6 linked regions of the Rattus norvegicus genome follow. The protein of the gene in region 2 purifies or fractionates together with the protein of the main gene of each other region. This does not show direct contact. Links are inferred from orthologs where the notes say so. Each region holds a gene or a part of one and is shown on either strand. Other genes may lie near its edges. The genes, in order: Npm1, Rrp1b, Srsf1, Ddx21, Srsf6 and Lyar.

What was found.
Region 1: the proteins of Rrp1b (region 2) and Npm1 purify together in Homo sapiens (co-immunoprecipitation; 3 studies listed by BioGRID and IntAct, with this or other methods). This does not show direct contact. The link is inferred for Rattus norvegicus from reciprocal best matches to the Homo sapiens genes RRP1B and NPM1.
Region 3: the proteins of Rrp1b (region 2) and Srsf1 purify together in Homo sapiens (co-immunoprecipitation; 3 studies listed by BioGRID and IntAct, with this or other methods). This does not show direct contact. The link is inferred for Rattus norvegicus from reciprocal best matches to the Homo sapiens genes RRP1B and SRSF1.
Region 4: the proteins of Rrp1b (region 2) and Ddx21 purify together in Homo sapiens (affinity purification with mass spectrometry; 3 studies listed by BioGRID and IntAct, with this or other methods). This does not show direct contact. The link is inferred for Rattus norvegicus from reciprocal best matches to the Homo sapiens genes RRP1B and DDX21.
Region 5: the proteins of Rrp1b (region 2) and Srsf6 purify together in Homo sapiens (affinity purification with mass spectrometry; 3 studies listed by BioGRID and IntAct, with this or other methods). This does not show direct contact. The link is inferred for Rattus norvegicus from reciprocal best matches to the Homo sapiens genes RRP1B and SRSF6.
Region 6: the proteins of Rrp1b (region 2) and Lyar purify together in Homo sapiens (co-immunoprecipitation; 3 studies listed by IntAct, with this or other methods). This does not show direct contact. The link is inferred for Rattus norvegicus from reciprocal best matches to the Homo sapiens genes RRP1B and LYAR.

What each region holds. Positions count from the first base shown.
Region 1 is NC_086028.1:18,245,742-18,249,241, reverse strand, and holds part of Npm1 (nucleophosmin), read left to right. Parts: intron 1-337; coding exon 338-439; intron 440-1,202; coding exon of another isoform or gene 1,203-1,211; exon of another isoform or gene 1,212-1,525; intron 1,526-2,206; coding exon 2,207-2,281; intron 2,282-3,156; coding exon 3,157-3,195; 3' UTR 3,196-3,500. UniProt on the Homo sapiens protein: Involved in diverse cellular processes such as ribosome biogenesis, centrosome duplication, protein chaperoning, histone assembly, cell proliferation, and regulation of tumor suppressors p53/TP53 and ARF.
Region 2 is NC_086038.1:10,132,825-10,136,324, reverse strand, and holds part of Rrp1b (ribosomal RNA processing 1B), read right to left. Parts: intron 2,891-3,500; coding exon 2,833-2,890; intron 1,998-2,832; coding exon 1,912-1,997; intron 1,111-1,911; coding exon 1,049-1,110; intron 605-1,048; coding exon 475-604; intron 1-474. UniProt on the Homo sapiens protein: Positively regulates DNA damage-induced apoptosis by acting as a transcriptional coactivator of proapoptotic target genes of the transcriptional activator E2F1.
Region 3 is NC_086028.1:73,335,045-73,339,297, reverse strand, and holds the start of Srsf1 (serine/arginine-rich splicing factor 1), read right to left. Parts: upstream 2,801-4,253; 5' UTR 2,677-2,800; coding exon 2,483-2,676; intron 2,064-2,482; coding exon 1,879-2,063; intron 1,529-1,878; coding exon 1,356-1,528; intron 1,159-1,355; coding exon 964-1,158; 3' UTR 594-963; coding exon of another isoform or gene 555-593; 3' UTR 1-554. UniProt on the Homo sapiens protein: Plays a role in preventing exon skipping, ensuring the accuracy of splicing and regulating alternative splicing.
Region 4 is NC_086038.1:31,094,439-31,098,402, forward strand, and holds the start of Ddx21 (nucleolar RNA helicase 2), read right to left. Parts: upstream 2,801-3,964; 5' UTR 2,757-2,800; coding exon 2,670-2,756; intron 330-2,669; coding exon 1-329.
Region 5 is NC_086021.1:172,007,595-172,011,871, forward strand, and holds the start of Srsf6 (serine/arginine-rich splicing factor 6), read left to right. Parts: upstream 1-1,477; 5' UTR 1,478-1,606; coding exon 1,607-1,713; intron 1,714-1,912; coding exon 1,913-2,061; intron 2,062-3,322; coding exon 3,323-3,447; intron 3,448-3,548; coding exon 3,549-3,757; intron 3,758-3,909; coding exon 3,910-3,993; intron 3,994-4,091; coding exon 4,092-4,277. UniProt on the Homo sapiens protein: Plays a role in constitutive splicing and modulates the selection of alternative splice sites. Plays a role in the alternative splicing of MAPT/Tau exon 10. Binds to alternative exons of TNC pre-mRNA and promotes the expression of alternatively spliced TNC.
Region 6 is NC_086032.1:76,799,966-76,804,154, forward strand, and holds the start of Lyar (cell growth-regulating nucleolar protein), read right to left. Parts: upstream 2,801-4,189; 5' UTR 2,700-2,800; intron 1,851-2,699; exon of another isoform or gene 1,745-1,850; intron 1-1,744. UniProt on the Homo sapiens protein: Plays a role in the maintenance of the appropriate processing of 47S/45S pre-rRNA to 32S/30S pre-rRNAs and their subsequent processing to produce 18S and 28S rRNAs. Also acts at the level of transcription regulation.

The sequences.
Region 1 (3,500 bases), on a different chromosome or scaffold from region 2:
ATTATTATAGGAGTTGGCCTATCAAGTTTGATTTTATCCTATCCTAACTTTGAAGCATCTCTCCCAACCCCTTTTTTAAATATGAGTACACTGTTGTCACTGTCTTCAGACAGTCTTAAGAGGGTATCAGATCCCATCACAGATGCTTGTGACTTGATTTTTTTTAAAGGATGACCTACTTGGTTCTCTGAGACTAGCTAGGAAGAATTACTACAATGCATCAATTTATATTAGCAACTTCTCTGTTTTATCTATAAAAGGAATTGTAAGGATAATAGAAATCCTTGTAATTACTATTTGTTAAGAACTGTACTAACAATTTTAAAAACTTTTCCAGGGTCAAGAGTCCTTCAAAAAACAGGAAAAAACTCCCAAAACACCCAAAGGACCTAGCTCTGTAGAAGACATTAAGGCAAAAATGCAAGCAAGTATAGAAAAAGTGAGTAAAAATTACCTTTAAATAGATTCGTCTTTCTCCCACTTTAAATTGTACTAATATGGGAATTCAGGTTAAAAAGTAGATTATAACAATAATCCTGTGCACTCAAAATTTGGAAGGGTGCACTCCAATCTTACAATGTCCTTTCTGGGGTTATGCTGTAGAACCAGCAGAGGGCGCTTGGTTTTCAGTAAAACTAAAAACAGCTGGAAAAGTAAGACACGAGTGTTTGGCTGCCTGAGATTATAGCTAAGGTGAAAAGGATCACCTTTAAGTATTTCACAACAATTTGAGTTATTTCTGTGCCTTCTGTACCAAAGCACACTCAGTCCATGACCTGAAATTTATGTGTGGCTACTAATAGGCTTTCATCTAGTCTTAGGTAGAATTTCTTTCTTGGCCATTTGGCTGGAACTAATACATTATTATATAAAGCATGTTTGTGTAGAAAATTGAATAATACACATGATTATTGGAAAATTAAAGATTCTCCATTATGATTCCAACATACTGAGTATACATGTGAAATGATAAGGAAATTGCCCAGTCCTGTCCTGGCCTCACATGGCTTCAGAAGTTTCTTCCTTTGCAACCACGAACGGATTGGAATTTAGCACTTGGCCAGCACATATATTTCTTATTTAAACTGTAAACTTAAGTTTCCTGGTGTTGCTGATTTATTTTTTATCCCTTGCATACACTGCTAAAATGATGCCCCTCCCCCCCATTTTAATGTGGTCCTATCTCCTTGGTTTAATTGCAGGCGCATTGAACATTCCTGGGCACTACTGGTAAATTAAGCCCAAAGATGGGGAAAGAGGAAAAGGAGAAACAAATATAGTACCATCAACAATCCAGACTGAAGTCTTCTATTTTAATCTCAATCCCCTTTCCTGATTGGCCATCCATTCCCCCTTGCAGGCTGGAAGCAATCGTTTTCCTAAAGCATTTTTCTTTTTCACTCGTGTGATGCAGAAAACTTGACTGCTTTTCTATACCACTTGTGCATATGCCTTAACTCTGACCATGTTTTAATTTTAACCTTTGTATCCTTAGCTGCTCGAAATAAATTTTTGAATGAACCAATAAGGATGTATGTGACAATATTTTTAAATTGTAGTGAATTATCTTCTAGGTGATGGAGGCAATTTAAGTACTCAAGATGAATCTGGAATTTGGAAGCCTTAGACTTGCTAAGTGCATAAAAATGGAAAAAACCTAAAATTTATAGAGAAGTGGACTTTATTTAGAATAGGGATAAATCTCTGTAGTGATAACTTTATGCTGGTTACAGTTGTACCTAGCTTGTAAGAGTTTTGGTGGCAAAACTGACATTGCTGATACTGTGATTCACTGCCTATATTCATAATTGGAAACATGCCAGGTCGGTGCAACAGTGAGGGTAGCATTTTAGAACCCTTTGATTGTGTGCTTTTTGGAACACTTTTATAAACAGTTTTGATTTAATTTGGTTTTTTGGTGGTAGGTGATGACACTAACTTATTATAATAGGCACCAAATTGCTGTATTTGCATGCTGGTAGAACCATACAGTTTTAAACTGGCAGTTTGGAAGGAATTGGACTTTAAGCAGTGAAAAACCATTCTTTCTGAGGTTTGGTCCTCGATGTTTTGTTTTTTTTTTTTTTTAATCAAATGGTAGTGTTGAGGGATAGTTTGTGTAATGGCATGCAAGTCTTTGGAAGTTTTCTAATTGTGTCTCACTTCTGTGCTTGTCCTTAATAATTAATGCTTTCTTCCTCAATAGGGTGGTTCTCTTCCCAAAGTGGAAGCCAAGTTCATTAATTATGTGAAGAATTGTTTCCGGATGACTGACCAGGAGGTAACTGAATTTTCTGTGGACATGACCAAATCTAAAATTTTCATTGTGATTTATTATGACTCTTACTTTTAGACTCTTAAGTTATTGGCTTCTTGTAAAAGGTTCCTAACCACAGACAGTACTTAAATACATGGAAAGAATTTAATTGGCAGACTGAGCAAATAATTTTTAGTGCACATTTTTTCCCCAGCTTTTTAAATAGTTGGTCAATTATCTCTTGGTTACTGAACTTAGTTTTACTCTTGGTAGTGTGTTGGCTAAGGAAATAGGCTGTGGCTTTTTATTTGCTCCATTTGGCTGCTTTACACAGTCTGATATTTGCTCTCTTGGGAGTGGTAGTGTCTTCTCCAGATAGTGAAGGGGGGGAGAACAATATTGGTAAAATCAAACTAGGATAGGTTAAAAAGCCTCATGCATGTGAGATAAATGGTATGGTTTATTGTGGTGGAGTCACTTGGGCCATGCAAGGGTGTGAATTTAAATTTTCTATTAGTTGTAAATAGGAAATATGGGTTTTGTTAGACCTTCTGTATGAACAGTTGATTTAAAGGGTTTCATCAGTCTGAGCTATAGGTGTCTATCCAAACTTCATTAAGAACAGGTTATGTCCCTTTGGGTTTCTCCAGGTTGTGTTCTTTTGCTTTGTAATACTTGCCTGGACTTTACTGTAAACTCAAATTCTGAGTCCCTAAATAGGGTTGACCCACACAGACAGGAGGCAGCATTGGCCATAAAGTCATGGCTAAGCCATTTAGTTAGGAGTCTCATTCATGGCTATGTTTGAGTTAAAATTCTGCATTTTCTCTTTATATGATGAAAACATTAACTTTAATTTTATAAAGTTAACATTTCTTTACCATTTTTCCTTTTTACAGGCTATTCAAGATCTCTGGCAGTGGAGGAAGTCTCTTTAAGAAAATGGTTTAAACAGTTTGAAATAATTCTGTCTTCATTTCTGTAATAGTTGCTATCTGGCTGTCCTTTTTATAATGCAAAGTGAGAACTTTCCCTACTGTGTTTGATAAATGTTGTCCAGGTTCAATTGCCAAGAATGTGTTGTCTAAAATGCCTGTTTAGTTTTCAAGGATGGAACTCCGCCCTTTACTTGGTTTTAAGTATGTATGGAATGTTATGATAGGACATAGTAGTAGTGGTGGTCAGATGTGGAAATGGTAGGGAGACAAATATACATGTGAAATAAACTCAGTATTTTAATAAA
Region 2 (3,500 bases):
ACATAAAAGTGCACCTTTCTTTCTAGCCTTTTGTCGGCTTATATTGGGTAACCGCACCGTCTACCGGCTTTCCCGCAGCTTTGGGACTAGGCGGTACACCCTGCCTTTCTTTCCTTTCCCTCTGGACGCTGTTTTTCTGCGGGCAGCGGCAGGGCCTTGCTGTGTGGTGTGGTGTGGCATGGCACAGGCCGCCCTGGAACGTGAGATGTGTAGTCAGTGCTGAGATTTTCAGTGTCCGCAAGGCCTGAACACGGGCCTTGCATTCCTTGCTCAAACGACTCTCCTGCCTCAGCTACTCCAGCTGAGTGTGCGGCTCAATCCTACTTCACAGGTAAGACTTCCAGACACAGGTACAGCCCACTAGCTGTCTGGGACAGGGTGCCAGGAGGGGAGAAGCCTCAGAGAGGCTGCTGGTGCTGACAGTGCCCATAACAAGCCCCGGCATGGTGGTCCCAGCGCAGCGCTGCTCCTCACCTCTCTCCCTCCCACAGTGGAGAGCTCATCCAAGTACACATCAATCAAGTGGGATCTCACTCCGTTGGGGGACCGACTCTCGGGACTCAGGATCTCCTTCATCAGGATGTCCAGAAACAGTGTGATTTGGCTGAAGAACAGCAAGAAAACAAACCAATAACACAGTTGGTTTTTTTAAAGACATTATCGCCAATACCTCCCTCTTTTCAAAGAACAGACAAAAATACGCATTTACTGCTCGTACTGTGTAAGTCAATGTGAGGCCCCAAGAGAAGAAACTGCTCTTCATTGGCTTCAAGTGACCGTTTCGGGCTCCCCTGGATTTACCCTCCCTTGGCTCAGCGTCTACTTGCTTCTCATGGCACTAAGCATGGCAGGCAGAGACGAGCCAATTCATGCTTCTGATTACCTAGAATCCCAGAGGACCCCATTGTTCTATAAAGATGTGGGGGAGCACATTAAAGATCAGAACTAGGGCCTCATACCCATCAGGCAAGTGCTCCACCACTGAACCACCCAGCAACTCTGACATGCTCTTAACGCCACCACACGTCCACGCAAATGGTTTACCCACCTCTCTTCCCAGGCATTCCGCTTGAGAACTTCGAAGGACTGCCTCAGGACCAGGCGGATCAGCTAAGGGTCGGCATGTTTTATAGTAAGAGTAAAAACGTAGTGATTATCTTGGCAGGACGAGGACCCTAGTTCTGGGTCCCCAAAGCAAGACAACGTCCTTAAATCGCTTCAGCTTCTGGATTAGCAGCATTGAGGCAGACAGGGGTAGTAAGTGCCTCTATCCAAGACCAGAGACGGCACAGCACAGACTCCCCCGCACCCCCAGAAAACCAACAAAACCAATGCAAGACATCTGCGCTCCCAGCCTCATTCCCAGCAGCTCAGACGGGAACAGAGGCACCTTCGGCACGTGCCTGATTCCGCCACAGCACGTCTGGACTTTCACCATTTTCTTGCTTTGGATGGAAGCTTGGTCTGAAGATGGCCGGGCAAGGCAAGCTCTGTCTGAGAACCTCATACCCATGTTCTTGGGTGTGGGTTAATTTCTTCCCAACAGCCTCTCTATCTCTTAACTCTACTGTTCACAAATCTATAAAACCTCTTAGCAAGCTGGGAAGTGGTTTGCTTGGGAGGCAAAGGCTTGAGATCTCTGAGTTTGAGGCCAACCTGGTATACAGAGTGAGTGCAGGACAGCTAGGGCTACACAGAGCAACCTGACTTGAAAAACCAAAACCAACCTCCCACCTCCAAATACACACACAAGAAACCCTTTTATCAAACTCCAACTCAGCTTCAGAAAGAGAAGAAAAAATGCCAGGCAAGTGCAGTAGTGCCGAGCTGCACCCCAGCTCTCTGCCACTCTGCAGACAGAACATTCTGTGTGTCAACTCTTCCGGTCCGCATGGGGAGGCACCACCTTACCATGTAGTACTTGTCCAGTCGCAGCTTGTCTATCCCTTGCCACTCTCGATTCACGGTCTGCCAGAAGGTCTGAATAAACAGGTGCTCTGCAGGGACAAGAGGCTCTCAGTGCCCTGCTGCCGCAGGAGCACATAGCAGGAAGGAACGACAGAAAACACACCCAGTTCTCTTTACGTGTCTATCTCAGAATTCTTGGACAGGTGGAGCTTGGCCAATGGCTAACTATGCTCAGTGATTTCCTTTGCAGCTATAAAGACATCACAACAGATGCCGTCAGCGTCTCGGTCAAAGCGCTCCCAAGGCACTGGTCTTTATCCATCCTTCTGATGTGCATGCTGTCTGGGTGAGACACATTATCTAATCCACAGATTCCCCACTTACTGACTTTTGAACACTTCCTTCGAATGTAGGGGTTGGCTGCTACCCAGGCTGGCCTCTCACACCTCCTACCTTAGCTTTCTAGATGTTGGGATTACAGACATATACCACCATGCCCAGCACAATTTATAAACAAACGCAAATCTTTACTATACAACAAATGCAGGATCTTGGGTGTTGTAAGTCAGCCAGAATTCAGAAGGTGTCAAACAGGACTGACTGTTGTCCAGCTTCAGAAATTTCCACCTTTTCTTTTAGGTAGAGCAGGGTTACCTTACACTTTATTACAGTGATTTATAGTCAAGATGGCTCTAATCTCAGCCAGGGTGCAGTGGCAAAGGCGTCACAGCTTCTAAGTGTGAGGGCAGCCTGAGTTTGGGAGCTGATCAGTGTCTGAAATGTCATATGACCTCTGTTCAGCACTAGCAGAGGCTGCCATATCACTCATTCCCAGACCAGAAGAAAAGCACTGACTAGGCTCCCCAGGTAAGCTATCAGACCTGCTACCAAGGAAGTCAGAGCCAGGAAAACGGCAGGACTTACGAGCCTCGGAGCTGTTAACAACGTGGATGAGTTGGGAAATAATGTTCGCTAGCTCCTCCTGCAAAGGCGGGCGGGGAAAACATCGGTTATTAGGTGGTCACACTGATGCGGGTGCTGCGGGCTGCATCCCTCTCCCTCTGTGGTGGGAAAGCCTGGGCTTCTTGTTTTAGATCTGTGGCTGACACCTCAGGCTTTATCAAATGTGTAACTCCAAACTTCAATCAACTACTGGGCTAATGCCATATGCTTCTGGAAAAATGCTAAAACTGTGTTCAAGAAAGTGTCTGTGGTGGGAGGTTGGACGATTCCAGGAAAACAATCTCACTGCCAACACCCACCCCACCCCTCCTTTTTCGGAGACAGGCTTTTTCTACACAGCCCCAGCTGTCCTGGAATTCACTCTGTAGACTAGGCTAGCTTTGAACTCAGAGAAAACCACCTGTTTCTGTCCCCTAAGCTCGGGGACTAAAGGTGCATGTTACCATGCCCCACTCTGTTTTTAAGATGTAGACTAAACTGAATCTATCCTGAGTACCAAATGCTGCAAAGCCAGAAAGCACAGAGCCACCTTGCTGGTGCTTGTGCAATAGGGTTTGCACTCCAGTCTCCTGTTAGGAGGGGAGGGCTGAAATGCCAAGAGATTCCTCTAGGTTGTGCTCTGGGCAAAT
Region 3 (4,253 bases), on a different chromosome or scaffold from region 2:
AGACAAAAGTATTCCCAACTAGATTATCTACATTAATATGTTGGAATTCTATATTTTGCTGTCATTTTTGTCTTTAAAAAATGAAATAACAACGCTCTATCAGTCACACAGAGGACATGCAGATTTAGCAGTATTGATATTATACTCTGTTTGGAAATAGACACCCTGTACCCACATGTACACCAACAGCAGGCCACACATTAACAGTTGTAACTAAGCACTGTGACAAATTAGCCATTCTTCCCACATTAGTCCCTATTAAAACAAAAAGGGGGGAAGGGAGCAAATAACTGTTACAAAACGGGCAATTTTGCCACAATTGCCAAGGTTTTAAAAAGCAAAGCAATTGTAGCTGAAGATAACTGCATAAGATGTTTGCAAGTCTTTTAAGGTAGATAAAATTTTAACCCTCGCCTTTTAGTATAAGGTCAATACTGCCAATTTCATCTGTGACAATAGCACTTGGAGTCATACCATTGCCTCCATTATTGATCTGATCCTCCTCAATCCTCCTTTTGACAATCCTAAAATGATTGAAATGTGCTCCACAATCCTTAATCCAAAGCATTCTTAATCCATCTCTTCAGATATGTCTACAGAAAGACACATGAAAAGCAAGATAAACATAAGAACTTCCCCAAGTAAGATAACCACAAACACCCCCAACATCCCATTTCACACAAACCAGAGCAGAATAGACATTTACATAATATCACAGTCTGAAGAGCATGGAAATTAACTAAATTTAAACAATCCTGTCTATGACATCACTTAAAATACAAGTTACCAAAGACATGAGGGGAATGTAGATGTTAGGAGCAAGGGGATATTACACAAGAATGCAATTCAACACTTTAGCCCATTCTGAACAAAACAGTTTGAATTAAAAAAAATGAAAAGATTGTACTGAGTAAAGGAAAACTGTATACAACATGGGTTCTACAAAAAGTGTCACCAATCATCTTATGTACGAGAGCGAGATCTGCTATGACGGGGAGAATAGCGTGGTGATCCTCTGCTTCTCCTTGGGGAGTAACTGCGACTCCTGCTGTTGCTTCTGCTACGGCTTCTGCTACGACTACGGCTTCGAGATCGAGATCTTCCATAACTTGGACTTCTGGGCCCATCAACTTTAACCCGGATGTAGGCAGTTTCTCCCTATTGGATAGACAGAACTTTCCATTGAAAGATCTAAGCTTTTACCTGTCTTTCAGACAAGCTGAATGAATACAAAGACAGACCAGGTCTCTGGTAATTTACTCGGACACCCTTGCCTGTATCCTTACCTTCAAATTCCACTGTTAAGAAAACTGTATCCAATTCTGGCCAAAAAAAAGAATAAGTGTATAACCTACCTCATGAGATCTAAACTTAGTGTTATCCAGTTTTCGAACTGCATACGTCATATCTTCTTTCCGTACAAACTCCACGACACCAGTGCCATCTCGGTAAACATCAGCATAACATACATCACCTGCTTCACGCATGTGATCCTTTAAGTCCTGCCAGCTTCCACTCGGAGGCAGTCCTGAAAAAGTGAGTCCCTCCAACTTAATACTACTTAACCTGTCCCACATCAAACGTGTAAGTACATTAAAACAAAGATTAGTTTAAAATACTTAATGATTGTACTTAAGTGTTTCCAGGTAAAGAGCTGGTAAGAGTCAGATCCAGAGTCCAAATTTATTTGTAAAGGATCTTCATAGGCTAGTACTGCAACCTAATTTGGGTAAATCACCACCACAGTAATCTTCATTTACTAAATTCACCCGAAAGACCGAAGTAGTTTAAGACCCCATGTTTAAAGCAAAACAGAAAACTTGCAGACCTCAAAACAATCACGCGGGAAAAATTTTAACCCGCACGAAGTCAACTCACCAGAAACAACCACTCTGTTTTCAGACCGCCTGGATGGCGGGCCATAGCGGCCTCTCGGGGCTCCGCCGCCTCCACCCCCGCCGCCGCCTCGGCCGGTCCCACGGCCGCTTCGGGGAAACTCTACCCGCAGACGGTAGCCGTCGTAATCGTAGCCGTCGCGACCGTACACCGCATCTTCCGCGTCTCTGCGTGTGATCACAGAAAGCAAAGGGGATGAGGAGGGAGCCGCTGGCAAAGCTAACTCACTCGGGAACCCGCGGACAGCGCACATGCGCACCCATGGTGCCAGAGCCCACATGCGCTGCATAATAGGACCGGCCCCTCCCCCACCCAGAAACACGCCGGGCAGACTCCCGACCACCACGCCAGCCCTCAGCGCCTCAGTTTCCCGCTCCGGGGCTGCGCATGGGCTCTGGGGACGTCCGAGGCGGTCAGCCACCGGAGACAACGCGCCGACTCGGCTCCTTACTCGACTCCTGCAGGGGCGATAGCGCCTCGCTCCCAGCCTCGGAGCCCCTCCTTCCCCCATTATGTTAAGGCCTCGGAGCCTTCCCCAACTACTCCAGCCTATCTCCTCAAGGCCGCAAGCCCCACGCTGCCTCACCGCGGGTCCTCGAACTCAACGAAGGCGAAGGGCGGTCCCCCGCGGCGGTTCTTCAGGTCGATGTCGCGGATAGCGCCGTATTTGTAAAACACGTCCTCAATGTCCTTGGTTCGGATGTCTGGAGGTAGGTTACCCACGTAGATGCGGCAGTCGTTGTTCCCTGCCGGGCCACGAATCACACCACCTCCTGACATGGCGGCGACGAAAAGCGCGGACTCGAAAAGAGGCCTTCCCACCAAGCCTAGCGTACGGCAGAGCGAGCCCTCAGCGGCACCACGTCTCCCGCGGCCGGTCCAAAATGGCGCCTTTATCAGCTCGGCGCACTGATATGGGGGGGAGGGGGAGGAAGAGAAGCCGGAGGAAGCGGCTATTCCATTTCAGTGCGCACGCGCACGAGCGTAACGGGTGCTGAGAAGTACGCTCGCGCACGCGCGACGTCACCCTCCGCACGGAGGGGAAAAAGTCCCTCGGGTCCTGGGCTTATGGGATGATTGGCTGGTGGAGCGGCCAGACGTTTGGTAAAAGTCACATACTCTGGTTAAAGGGGTTATTACCAATCCTGCTGAGTCCAGGATAGTCGGTTTCCTCTGGCGTAAACTCTCTCTGGAAGCAGCTCGGCGCTTTAAAAAGATTGGGTGAAACCTAGCCTGCAACTGTGTCCCAACATGCTCCGCGGTGGTAACGGCCTTTGGCGGGAAAGGCGTAGGGGGCGGAGCTAGATGACGCTGGGTGTTGCTCCGGAAACCTGGGCAACTTTAGCACTTCGGTGCGGCCGGCCGAGTTGCAGGAGATTCGTTTAACAGCCTAAGGGGAGCTGTGTGGCTTTTGCTTCTGCGAACCTGCGGTGGGCTGCATTTTACACAGTTAAAAGTGTCTAGACGGATCCTCCATATCTATTTAGATGAACCGTGCCTTCGCTTTTTTTCTTCCTCCTTTCAAAGGATGAAAAAGGAAACGTGATAAAATACTAACTGCTTCTTTGGGCCGAGATCCGGGTTCGGTGCTAGTCTAGGGAGATAACTTTTTCCCCGAGATTATCTGAAATAGGATTTTTGTACTGGATACCACAATTTTGCTTCTTTGTTTTGTAATAACGGGAATAGGAGAGTTTTATTTGTGAAATCATACAGGCTTTTTAATTAAAACAAAACTAAGCTGGACTTAAGTCTGTGTGCCTGAAATCCTATCACTCTGGGAGCTGAGGCAAGGAGGTGATAAACCTACTCTGTGATACACATTTCTATTAAAGGTCAGCCCGGGACATGCAGGGAAACCCTTTCTATTAAAATTTTTTAAAAACAAACCTTTTTCTTGGCATTGTTTTTGAGTTTCGGGTTTCTGTTTTGGTTTGAACAGCCCCTGGCTGTTTTGGAACTCAGATCCTGCTGCCTTCTAAGTGCTAGGATCAAAGATGAGTCACCACCTCCTGGCTAAAACCAGAACCTTTCCTGTTTAGATAATAAGACAGCCAGGTGTGGTGGCGCATTCCTTTCAAAGTAGGCCTCAGAATCTCAGGAGTTCAAGGCCAGCCAGAGCTGTGCAGTTCCTATCTCGAATAAGTATGCTAAATCGGATCCCCGGAAATTTTAAGGTTGATTCTCTACACTGTAATTTTTAGTTTTCAATTTTATTTTATGCATATTGTGCCTTGGGGTGGTGGGTCATGCCCCAGCCCATGTGTGAAAGTTAGAAAATAAAGTGCAGTTCACCACTTGCACTATGTGTGGTCAGGCTTTTGAGGAGCATCTTTATCAGATGAGCCATCTGCTGC
Region 4 (3,964 bases), about 21 Mb from region 2:
CCGTTTGCTTCCTTCCCTTTCTTTGTCTTTTTGGGCTTAGGAGCGTCTGCCTCTTCCTCAGAAGGCTCCTCGGCTTTCATTTCTTTGGTTTTAGCAGAGGGTGCTTTCTTCTCTAGGGGCTCCTTTTTCTTCTTGGAGGTTTTGCTTTTAGAAGCAGGGTCATCTTGAGGCTCCTCCTCCTGCTTCTTGGCCTTCTTGGATTTAGGGGGACCCACATCATCCTCAGAAGGCCCTTTCTTTTTAACTGCTTTCACTTTGGAGGAAGCGGCCTCTTCCACTCCTTCTGTTGCCTCGTCAGTCTTAGATTTTGGCTTCTCTTTTCTAGTTTTCTAAAAATTTATAAAAGACACAGCAAAAACCGCAATAATGAATAAAGCTGCTATACTGTATAAGGCCCATCAATTCTGGATTACCACAGGACTACTTACAGTTGTGAAAAACACAGCTTTAGGCATTTCAACGCTGTAGAAGTTAAAAATCAACCCTGATGTTATACACGTACAGTGTGTGTGTGTGTGTGTGCAATCACTTTAAAAGGAGACCATGGATTTGAAATGGAGCAAAGTGGAAATTACATGGAAGGGAGGGAGGGAGGGAGGGAGGGAGGGAGGGGGAGTGATGATGTAATTAGAATCACAACGTTAGAGAGACAAGGTGTGGCTCTGGCGATCCTGGGCCACTCTGCAGGCCAGGCTGCTGTTGAACTCATGGAGATCTGACTGCCTCTGCCTCCTAAGATTAAAGTCATATGCTATTGCACCTGGCTTAATGTAATTTTAATTAAAAAATAAGTCTCACAATATGCTTTTAATACCACTTCTTAGATAAGTGGAAATAAGTATATACCAATAGTCATTAGCATGGGGGAATAAAAGAGTTCTTCAAACTAAGTCAGGTTTTATCAGCCAACCATTATAAAACTAATTTTTTTAGAGAGATTCCCAAGGCTCTAAACTACATACTCCAAAAAATGGTTCAGGAGGCAAAATTCTTACTGTGCCATCATGAGGGGTTGACAGGAAGCTCTAGCACCCACAGGGAAAAAAATGGGTATGATAGCACATGCTTGTCACCCCAGCTGGTGGGGGTGGAGTAGGGAGCTAGCCAGACTAGGTGAATCAAAGGGCTCCAGATTCGGAGAGAAACCTTGTCACTCCATGCTGGGGAAGGGTCGATACACACCTTTAATCCCAGCACTCAGGAGTTTGAGGCCAGCCTGGTCTACAGAATTCGTTCCAGAGTGACCAGGGTTATGCAGGTTAGGGTCTTGGTGAGGTGGGGTAGCTAACACTGCCCTCTAACTAGCTGTATGGGCAAGCACATCCATCCCCATACAGGAGCACACACTGTAACAGTGAACAAGCACTGCCCAAAGGTTTGTGTGTCCTCAGATAATTGCAAAAGCAGTTTTCTTTTCCCTCCTAAATTTCTATATGGTTATTTTGTCTTTTTTTTTTTTTTTTCCGGAGCTGAGGACCGAACCCAGGGCCTTGTGCTTGCTAGGCAAGTGCTCTACCACTGAGCTAAATCCCCAACCCCTCTATATGGTAAACACGCAAGAAGTTTGTACTTCACTGTGAATTCACATAGACACTATATGAAACAAACAAAAAACTTCATCCAATCTACCATTCTCACATGTGAAACTTTATTTAAAAGTACAACTCTTCATGTCGTGGAAAACTTGTAGTGATTACTAGCCACCTAGTAGTGCCCCAGACAATAAGCATAGGACCAAATCGCAATGGACTAACTAAGTTCTCACATAATAGCCTAAGGCAGTCTTTCTTTCTCAACTTTCCAAATAGTTCATATTTTAGTGACCCCCCAGCCATAAAATTATCTCGTTGTTACTTCAAAGTTTGCTACCGTTATGAATCATAATGTAAATCTAATATGCAGAATATCTGACAGGGTGAGAACCGCTGGGCTAAGGGATAGAGCTGCCACTCAGTGGCCCAGCACCTGCCAACACGTGAGCAGCCCAAGATTTGGTTCCTGGTACTATAAAACACATCTTAAAAATAATGGATCATGGACAATCTCTACGCCCTGTGAACATCTATCTGTTACATATGTGAAAAATATTAAGTCGAGTTTGGAACATAAACTCGTGGTCAGGTTCCCTCTTGACTTCAGCATCCCCCTGCAGAACACGCGGACGCAAACCGGGAACGCTGTGCTGCTCCCTGTGGTTTCCACCTAATCCAAATAATAATGCTGTTTCTTTAAAAGGCTCCTACCTTAAAAGCCCCGGAGACAGAAAAAAACCTCAACTAAGTCGTACTACATAGGAGTTCCGGGATAATTTTCGTCTCCTCTTACTTAGATCATTAGAGACTGTCACAAGTTAAGTCTTTTCATGAAAGGATTTAAGAAAAGACAAGGAGATTCAACAGTGCTCACGCAGATCATTTTACTGATGATCATCACTTAGACCATCTCGTTTTCAGCTTTTTTTTTTAAAGGGGGAATCGTGTCTGTGTCACAGCAGATGCGGACCATGTGCGCAAGTTTCAGACTTTGCTGTCTCCAGCTCCAGTCCCCACTGTGACGCGATCGGCAATCCCCTTCCGCACTCTCAAGCCTGGCCAGCGGGCACAGCGTGTCAGAGGGCCGACCACGCGCACCGGGTCCAGCCTGACCCAGCTCAGGGCCCCCAGGCTCACCTTCTCGCTTGGCTTCTGCAGCGTCTCCATACTCTCCTCGGTCCCTTCTGACTCCGACTTGGACGCACTGCGGAGTTTTCCCGGCATTATTCAGCAGGAGCAGCTCAGGCCTACCGGCTTCCACAACCGCGTGCAAAGGAAAGAGAGCGACAGAGAAAGCCGACCGCCTCCCAGCCCGGCCTCGCTCGTCACTTCCGGAGCGGAGCGCATCCGGCGGAAGTAGCGTACACCGGTGTGGCTGCGATTCGCATGGCTTTGGATGGGATCCGTCTGTGCAGCGTGGAGGAGAGAGCCGGCTAGATTTGGTTAGCGACCTTGAATCTGACCCTGCTTCTCCACTTCCCAAGTCTGGAATTACCAGCCGGCAACATTTTTCCACGAAAAGTCGTGCGATATGTACGCCACCTGTGGGAAAACTGATGGGAGGTGACAGCTAAACCCAGGTGCCTGGTGAGCACTGGAATTCAGGGACCAGCGAGATACCTTGGTCCTGGTGACCTGAATTTGAAAACAGAATCTACTATGCAGCCTACTACTTGTTTTTAAGCGCACCCGTGCAATGGCACTCAAGACATCCATATGCATGCCGCACAACAATATGAGCAATTTAAAAGAACCAGAATTGGCAGGGCGTATAGGGTGCACACCGCTAATCTCAGCACTCAAGAGCAAGAGGTAGAAGTTTGGCCCTTTATTCATGTGTGCACTTGATAAACTTCCTGAGCATTCTCCTGAGCATAGTGACAGGATTCTAATAAGCCCTGTTTGTCCTCAAGCACTATAGACCAAAGTTTCTCAATCCCTGGGTCGCTACTCAGTTGGGGTTCAACGACCCTTTTACCCTTGGTCACATATCAAATATTTACATTAAGATTCAATAGCGAAATTACAGTTACGAAGTAGCAACAAAATTTTATGATTAATAACAGGGCCTTGAGACTTGGAATGGGTTCTCAAAGATTCTTAAATTGGACAGTTTATTACTTCCATTAGATAAGGGAAAGTGGCCAATTGAATGATCAGTGACAATGTTAGTTTTGAGGTGCATCTCTGACTGCTCTTGAACTCAAGAGATCTACCTATGCTGGGATTAAAAATTTGCACCACCACACTGGTAATAAGTTTTTGAACTTCTTCTGAAGAGCCAGTGATTCAAGGAATGAGAGACAGTTAATCATAGTAGTTTTAAAAAATGAGAGTGGAACCGATTTTCTTTATGTGGGCTCTGACTATAGAACTCAGTTCTTCAAGCTTGCATCACGAGGTAGCAAGCACCATCTCACAGACTCTAAGAA
Region 5 (4,277 bases), on a different chromosome or scaffold from region 2:
TTGAACTCAAGACCTCTGGAAGAGCAGTGAGTGCTCTTAACCGCTGAGCCATCTCTCCAGCCCTAGTTATTTGTTTATTGAAAGCATAACAAGCATGAGGAGGTCAGATTTCAACTAGCAAAAATTGTTTTTTTGTTGTTGCTGTTGTTCCTCCTTCTACCTTGTGGGTTGTAGAATCGAACTCGGGTCCTCCGGCTTGGCAGCAAGCACCTTTCTTTACCTGCTTCGGTCTTCTCACCACTCACAAATAAAATTTAACACGTTTTAAGAAATTGACAATTTGATAAAAGGAAACTTAAGTATTGAATTCATTCTGTGTTCCATGAATATTTTTTTAAGGCTGTGTACCTATATTTTTTCTAGTTCTAACTTAAGGAAGTTAGTTCTCTTCCCTCCAGATAATATTATTAACTCATCTCCTGGGTTGCTACTCTAATTGCCGGTCTGGCCCAGATAACAGAATCGCCTCTTCCCATCCTAGTTGAAAAGCCTGGGGCTGTGGAGATTCCGGGCAGAAAACAAATTCCTGAAGAACACGTACTAGCTCGGTTACAGTCTTTTCTCCCAGCTTCCATCACACTATGTCTGCTTTCAGTTTCCTTACCTCTCTAGCCAAAGCTTGGCCGTCCTTAATTTCCGAGTACTCCCAAGGCATGCTCCTATCGTAGTCAATTAACTTTACTCACGGAGAGGGGGAGACTGTGTTTTGTTTATCTACCTCTACAGCGTTAAATGTCACCTCCATAAACTCCTATGTGTGTGTTTCTGTTTCATATATAGTTTGCCTTCGGAGTCAACCAGGTTAAGGACAGTAAGGGTAGGGGTCGGGGGTTTTGGAGAACCACAAGGTCTGATTCCAAGCTTCCAGCGCCCGCCTGTTGGTGCATGGGGCCCACCCATAGTCCCTTTGTGAAGAGTCGCCGCGAGCGCGGGATTCAGAGCTGTCAGAACTCGGAGCAGAGTGAGGGACGCCACCGAGATCCGCCACAGCACTCCCCTGCGGGTCACTAAACCTCAGGGACAGATCCCAGGTCTCTGAGAAACTAAGGAACTGTCCGACTCCCAAGAGTCCTCTATACCCATCGAAACCAGCACGAGCTACCCGCTGAAAGGAAAGTGCAACCTCTTTTTCTTAGTACACCAATCAGAGAGCAAGATTGTCTAGACCGACTGCCCGGACAACCAATGAGAAATAGGATTTTGTTCTCCGCGTGCCCGGGCACAAGAACAGTTTATTAATGGGTACTAGTCAAAGGTCCCGGTCTCGGCTGTGTTCGGAAGAGGGTGCCGAGCACCAGGGGACATCAGGGAAGCGAGCTCGGCTCGCACCTAGCCCAGCACACGCTGCAGCCGCCCCAGCCCCTCTGGAGTGGAACGCGGCGCGGGAGAGGACGTGCTGCGCGCCGACGTCACGCGCCGCGCCCCGCCCCCGGTCACTTATAGCGTAGGCCAGCGCGCGCGCGCGCACCATTGTGTGGCTGACTCGGCCGCAGCTGCGGTGTGAGGCGCGTGTTCGGGCCTTCGCCGTCCCCGCACCCGCACCGCAGCCCCTGCCCCGCGGCCCGCCGCACCTCAGCTAGCCTCCGGGAGAACACCCACCACGGCCATGCCGCGCGTCTACATAGGACGCCTGAGCTACAACGTCCGCGAGAAGGACATCCAGCGCTTTTTCAGCGGCTACGGCCGCCTCCTCGAAATCGACCTCAAAAATGGGTGAGTCGGGTCTGGGAGGCCGCGCCCCGAGGCGGAGAGATCCCCCAAGGACCGAGTCGGCCAAGGCCGGGACGCCGCGTGGCAGGGCCTCTAAAATGGCGGCGGCGCCTCGAGCGCGCGCGGGGGAGGTCGCGGGAGCGCGCGGCGCCGGCTAACGACACGCCCGCCGGTGCGCGGCTCGCGCTCCGCCCCTCCTCAGGTACGGTTTCGTGGAGTTCGAGGACTCCCGTGATGCGGACGACGCCGTTTACGAGCTGAACAGCAAGGAGCTGTGCGGCGAGCGCGTGATCGTAGAGCACGCCCGGGGCCCGCGCCGGGACCGCGATGGCTACAGCTACGGAAGCCGCAGTGAGTCCTACCCCCGCGCGCTCCGCGTCCTGGGTACCTGGGGGGGACGGGGCGGGTGCAGTCACCGGGGTGGGCAGGGTGGGACCTCCCCAGCCCGGGCAGGCGCGGAGGCCGGGGGTTGTCGGCCCTGGGTGTTCCTAGGCTCCTCTACCTCCACGCATGCCCGGGTAGCCGTGGGACACCGGAGCGCGGGGAATGGGGTCGGATGGCCAGTTGACTTAAGTTTGGGAGGAGTGGCCTAAGTTGGCCCTCTGGCACTGACGTGGTTTCTGCCATTATTGAACGCGAGGGTTGGCTGTATTTGTACTATTCCCCCTTGCTTATCTGTCAGTGCTTTTAGCTAGCGTGGAGGAAGTTTTAAGGAAGGCTGGGGTGGAGGTGGGGCAGGGGGCGGGGAGAGGGGAGGAGCTTGAAGCCTAAGTCTTAGAGATGGGAGACTTGGGGGGCAAAGAAAGTGCCATTTTAAACTAAGTAATGTGGCATAGTACCACCAAGTAAATCTAAATAAGCTTTATGCTGTATCTGAACTAGTTGGCATGTTACTGGGAGGGGGTTGGGGGGATTTTGGTTATGTGAAATGTTTAATGTTGAAATTGTTGCATGTTGAATTCAAACTTTTTAACAAGTCCTTGATGTTTCAATTTGAAAGTGACCAATGGGGCTGAGGCTGTGTCCACTGAGGCTAAGATGACTGCCTTTCCTGATTGGCCTTGGCTTTTCCATACATTGTGTGACCCTTGCCCTATGACCCTTTGGCTGACCTTACCGGAAGCCATGACGACAGCAGCCTTTTGCCATTAGACGCAGGGTGATGGTGAGGATTCCAAGGGTTAGACAAAACTGGTTAATCTGAACTAGGTGACTGTTACCTTGCGTGTTTTGTGGCCAAACCACCACCAAAAACCTCACACTGTGATGTAAGTACTTAGTGTAACTAGTAAACATTTTTGTAAAATGTAGAAATGCATGTAATCAGTTAAGTTTTATATTTTACAATGTTCTGTAAAATAAAACTTAGCGAGGTAAATTGAATAAAGGAGCAGTCACTCTCTAACAGATTGTAGGAGAGGTTTAGTTGGATATAGTCTTATTTGACTTGCCCTTAATTTAATTTGTGGCAAATCACAAATGTATCGAGGGTTTAGCAGTATAATAGCAAAGTCCTACTCCAGTAAATAAACGTTGCTATGTTTGTACTAACTTTCAAAAACATGTGTCCCTGTCATTGCAATACATTAACTACTCCCTCCGTGTGATAAAGGTGGTGGAGGTGGATACAGCAGTCGGAGAACTTCTGGCAGAGACAAATATGGACCACCTGTTCGTACAGAATACAGGCTTATTGTAGAAAATCTATCTAGTCGTTGCAGTTGGCAAGACTTAAAGGTACGTCCTGAGGTTGAAAACAGGGCAGTGGCTTCCCTGAGAGTTGAGGCTGCATGGTTTTGCTTCTGACTTCTGAGGCTCACCAGTCTTAACTGTTTTAGGATTTCATGCGGCAAGCAGGAGAGGTGACTTATGCAGATGCTCACAAAGAACGAACAAATGAGGGTGTAATTGAATTTAGATCCTACTCTGACATGAAGCGTGCTTTGGATAAACTGGATGGCACAGAAATAAATGGCAGGAATATACGGCTTATTGAAGATAAGCCACGAACAAGCCATAGGCGCTCTTACTCTGGAAGTAGATCCAGGTAATGGGCTCGGGGAGGCTTGTGATTTTTCAGTTGTTGCCTAATTGTGTTTACAGTGTTTTTTGGTTATAGTAAGCAGATATTCCAGCCATAGCTAAGTTGTTCAAACAGGTTCTTGGAAAGATTAAAATGTTACTGTCTCTTGTGTGTAGATCACGGTCTAGAAGAAGATCTCGGAGTAGGAGTCGCAGAAGCAGCCGCAGTAGATCTCGAAGTATCTCAAAAAGTCGCTCGCGGTAAATAATGTGGTATTGGGTCTCTTAATTTTACCACTTGATGGAGTACAAGTGTTTTCTGATAAAATACTGAAAAAAATCTGGTTTTTCTTGTACAGATCTAGGTCTCGGAGCAAAGGTCGATCCCGATCCCGCTCAAAGGGCAGGAAATCCAGATCAAAGAGCAAATCTAAGCCCAAGTCTGATCGGGGTTCCCATTCACATTCAAGAAGCAGATCTAAGGATAAGTATGGGAAGTCACGAAGTAGGTCACGTTCTCGGTCCCCCAAAGAAAATGGAAAAGG
Region 6 (4,189 bases), on a different chromosome or scaffold from region 2:
AGCAAGGTCAGCAGTTCTGCTGCACAGCGAGAACAAGAGCCTACTGCCACCAGTCTGGACATCCTGACACATCGATGTAAGAACAAGAGGAAAGACAACTAATTGGATACCAAGAAATGGCCTACTGTGGTAGCATAGGCAACAGCTGTTATGACTAGCTAAAGGGTCCACTGAAAAACCAGGAAGCGCTTCTGCAATAAGGACAATGGAGAAAACACCCTGCTAACTTAGAGATAGTTTGGAGCTTTTCAACCTCTGTTACTGAGGACTGCTGTTTCTGGTCAAGCTCGAGAGGAGAGGGTGGGCTTGGATAAACCTTGGGATCCACGGGTGTGTCGCTGGGAAAGATCAGAATTAAAGTCCAAGAAGGACACTGGAAACAAGATACAGCAAGTGACAGAAGTGATATGGCAAAAAAATAAATAAATAAATAAATAAAAAATAAAATTAAAAAAATGCTGGCAGCATCTATGAAAAACAGGTCCCCATGGTCATGGCACAGTGTGAACAGCAACTCAGGAGAAGGTTGGAATCAAGACTGGAGCCATGCTCAACTGGTTTTCTACCTATTTATTGGGTATGAGAAGGGAATCAGTGTGCCCACCTGCTGGCTAATGAGATAAGATTTGTAAGGAGATTATTCAGATGAAGGGAGGGAGGGAGCCCAGAGTCACCTTAGCAGCATATCCACCTGGAGAAAACACCTTCCATTCGTGAGAAGTACGCAGTGCAGACTACAAAGAACAGAAAGCCAGCTCAACTGACCACCCAGCAGGGTCCAAGTCTTAGTCCAGGCTTAGGAGAATCAGAAGTGTGAAGGCCACATGCTATGAAACAGAATCCTGGGCTAAGCGAAGACAGCAACATCCTGTTAGCTTCACATTACTGTGATAAACACTAAAACCAAGAGCAATCTGGGGAGGCCAGAGGTCAAAATCAGGAGTCGCCCCGCCCACCTTCTTCTCTTTTCTAAAGATTTATTTTATTATGTTTATAAGCACCTTGCCTCTAGGTATGTGCCCAGTACTCATACAGGTCAGAAAGCAGCGTCAGATCTTGTGATGACTATTCCTGGTTATCAACTTGACTATATCTGGAATGAATTACAATCCAGAAATGGAGGGCACACCTATGATGCAGATCTTGAAGCTGAAAGATACAGGTTTCTAACCTGGATCTTAACATGGATATATTGAGGCATAGTGGCCACGGAAAGCTCAGGCCCAGGCAAGGTAGTACACGCCTTTAAACCCAGGAGACCGAGGCAAGCAGAACTTGAGTTCAAGTCCAGACTGGGACAGAGCAAGTTCCAAATCCAGGTGTGATGGTTCACACCTTTCATCTGGGCCACACCAGCTGGAGGCTCACATAAGAACATTGGAAGAAGGAAGGCTCACTCTTTTCCGCCTGCTTGTACTTACTTGCCAGCACATATGTTGAAACCTACTTCTTCAGGATTCCGGCTTACAGAAGAACAGCTGAAACACATAGCTGTGTGGGACTGAGAAACTACTAGACTCTTGGACTTCCCATTCACAGTTAGTTGTGCACTGTTGGGTTAGATGGACTATAAACTGTAAGTCATTACAATAAGTTCCCTTAATATATAGATGTTCCATAAGTTCTGTGACTCTAGAGAACCCTAATACAGATCTCTTAGATTTTGGGTGCTGGGAATTGAACTCAGGTCTCCTGGAAGAGCAGCAAATACTTTAATCACCAAGCCATGTCTGCAGTCCCCTACCTTGTCTCTCTCTCACTGGGAGTTGGGAGGCTTGCTGATTAGACCAGGCGAGCTGACTAGTGAGCCACAGGGATCCGTCGCCACACCTTGCTCTTTAACCTGGGTTCTGAGCATGAAAATTCAGGTCCTCATGCTTGTCTGTCAAGCACTTTACAGACTGGACTATCCCTTTTTCAACTCATGCACACATGATGACTACATTTGCCCCCCAAACAGCATATCTTAAAGGCCAGACTGGTAAATGCTCCCTTTAAACTTCAAGTCCTCCCCATCTCTGAAATAGGGAGTCCACCCACTATACCTAGACACAAGCCCCTTCCAGAATTAGTAGAAATCACAGGTGCACTGAAAGAGGAAAGCCACGCACATATCTCCACCCTCTTAGGACCCGGGGTAAGACCATGAGTGGGACATATGTTTCTACTGAAGCTCAAATAATCCAAGCCATTCCCCTGCCTTGAGGAAGGCAGTTCAAGTCTCCTCACCACAGCCTCACCTGAATAACTTGCAGCTGTTAGGTACTATGAAGACATTAGACGCTTGCCACCATTTGAGCAAGCCCCATATCCCTAGGCCTCAATGGCCAGAAGCTAGGCTCACAGGCTCACAGACCCCTATCATCTCTCTTACTTCTTTCTCCTGGGAGGTAGGTGCTGCAGGAAAATACATTTGCCGAGCAACTACTTCCCGTCAAGGTCTTTACCCTTGTAGAATTCACACACACCCCAAGTTAGGTCCTCTAGTATCCCTTTTGGACAGGAGTGGAGGTACCACTGGGCTAAATAGCTTGTATCTAGATCACTATTTGGGGATTCGCAGGCACTTAGTTAGGTCTTTGGTCCTCTAAGCTCAAGGAGCCCTCAGACCCTTTCTCCGGACCTAGTTCTCGAGATTCAGAGAAAAGCCCTCTCCCCATCAGCCAGCAAGTCTAAAGCCCTGTGAGGTGAGGACTAACCATGCCATCGGGCCGGACTAAAAACCGGGATGCAACGTCTCCAGCTCAGAACTCCAGATTTTGCCCGCGAGCGAGTCCTCAAGGAAGGCGGCCATGCCGCCATCGCCCTCCCTCCAGGCCCCGGGCTCCAAGCAACTCTCACCTCTCAGCCGACCCCGCCAACGGTCCCAACCGGCCGCCAGGAGCACGTGGAGCTGCAGCCGCCCAGCGAAGCACCGCCACCGGCTCGCCCAGCTTCCCCGCGCAGAACTCAATCCCGGCTAGCACGAGTCAATGCGCATGCGCATAGAGGCCAAGCCTCAAACGGAAGTGACGGCGCCGGAAGTTGCCGACGAGCTGCCGAGGGGGCGTTGTCGGAATGGTTCCGAGGCGGTTGGAGTCCTGCAGTTGACACCAGTTTGACGAGAACGAGTGTCAAGGAGGCGGCCGGGCGAGAGCGGCCTCCGTGGGTAAGGCGTCCTGGGACACTCGACTCGCGTGGGCTCCGGGTCAGCGCGGCTAGAGTGCGCGAGGCCCACTGACAGCGCGGTGTGATGGGGCCTGGCGGAGCACAAAGCTAAGATCCGTGCACTGGAGCGGGGCCTCCTCTTTCCTGCAGTCACCCTTGCTGCTGCGGTCTGCGCGCTCTTGGTGCCTGCGTCACCCCTAGATAGGAGAGGGGCCAGACCCCTTAGTCACGCCCTGCCTCATTCAGCGCATGGCCTTACGTACCTTGGTGTCCCATCGGTAGAATGCTATTATTGCAGCGCCTACTCCTCGGGACCTTGTAGGACTAAAAGATTTGTTTCATGTCAGGTGCTGGGTGGTCTTCTGCGGTTTAGTGGGTGCTCACTAGACGTTAGCTGTTCTCAACCTGAAAGACAGCATCTGGTATCCATTAGTTGTCATTATTGCTTAAAAGGTTGAATGAACGTCAAACAGGCAATGAACAGTATTGTGAGAAACATCGACCCAGGCATGGGCATTTGTTGGTGACTGGGAGGTTTCCTTCTGCTTGTTGTGACTCCTAACGCAAGGTACAACAGATGTGGTAGTTCAGATGAGAGAGATTTACTTTCTCACACTTCTAGAGGATGGATGGTCAGGAATGGGGTGTGTTCAAATTTGTTTGCTTTAGAGAACCGTCCTGGCTTACCAGTGGTCATTCTTGTTGTATCCCCGCACAATCTTCCCTCTGTGCCACTGCAGCACTGACATTTCTGCTGCAGAGCCCAACCGAATAGGCTGTTTTGAAAAAGCACAGTTCCCTTCCTAAAGGTCTAATTGCTACAGGTAAACCAAATTGTGAGGTTCTGGAGAATGCAACGGAATGCATAAAGAACCCATTTGAGTGGCATGGCCTTGTAACGTCAGAACTAGGGAGGTGAAGATAGGTGGATTCCTGGAGTTAGTGAGCCTCACATGTAAGTAAGAGACCCTTTCTCAAACAACAACAACAGCAAACCAAGGTGACCAGATAGCTCCTGAGGAACAATGCCTGGGGTTGGCTT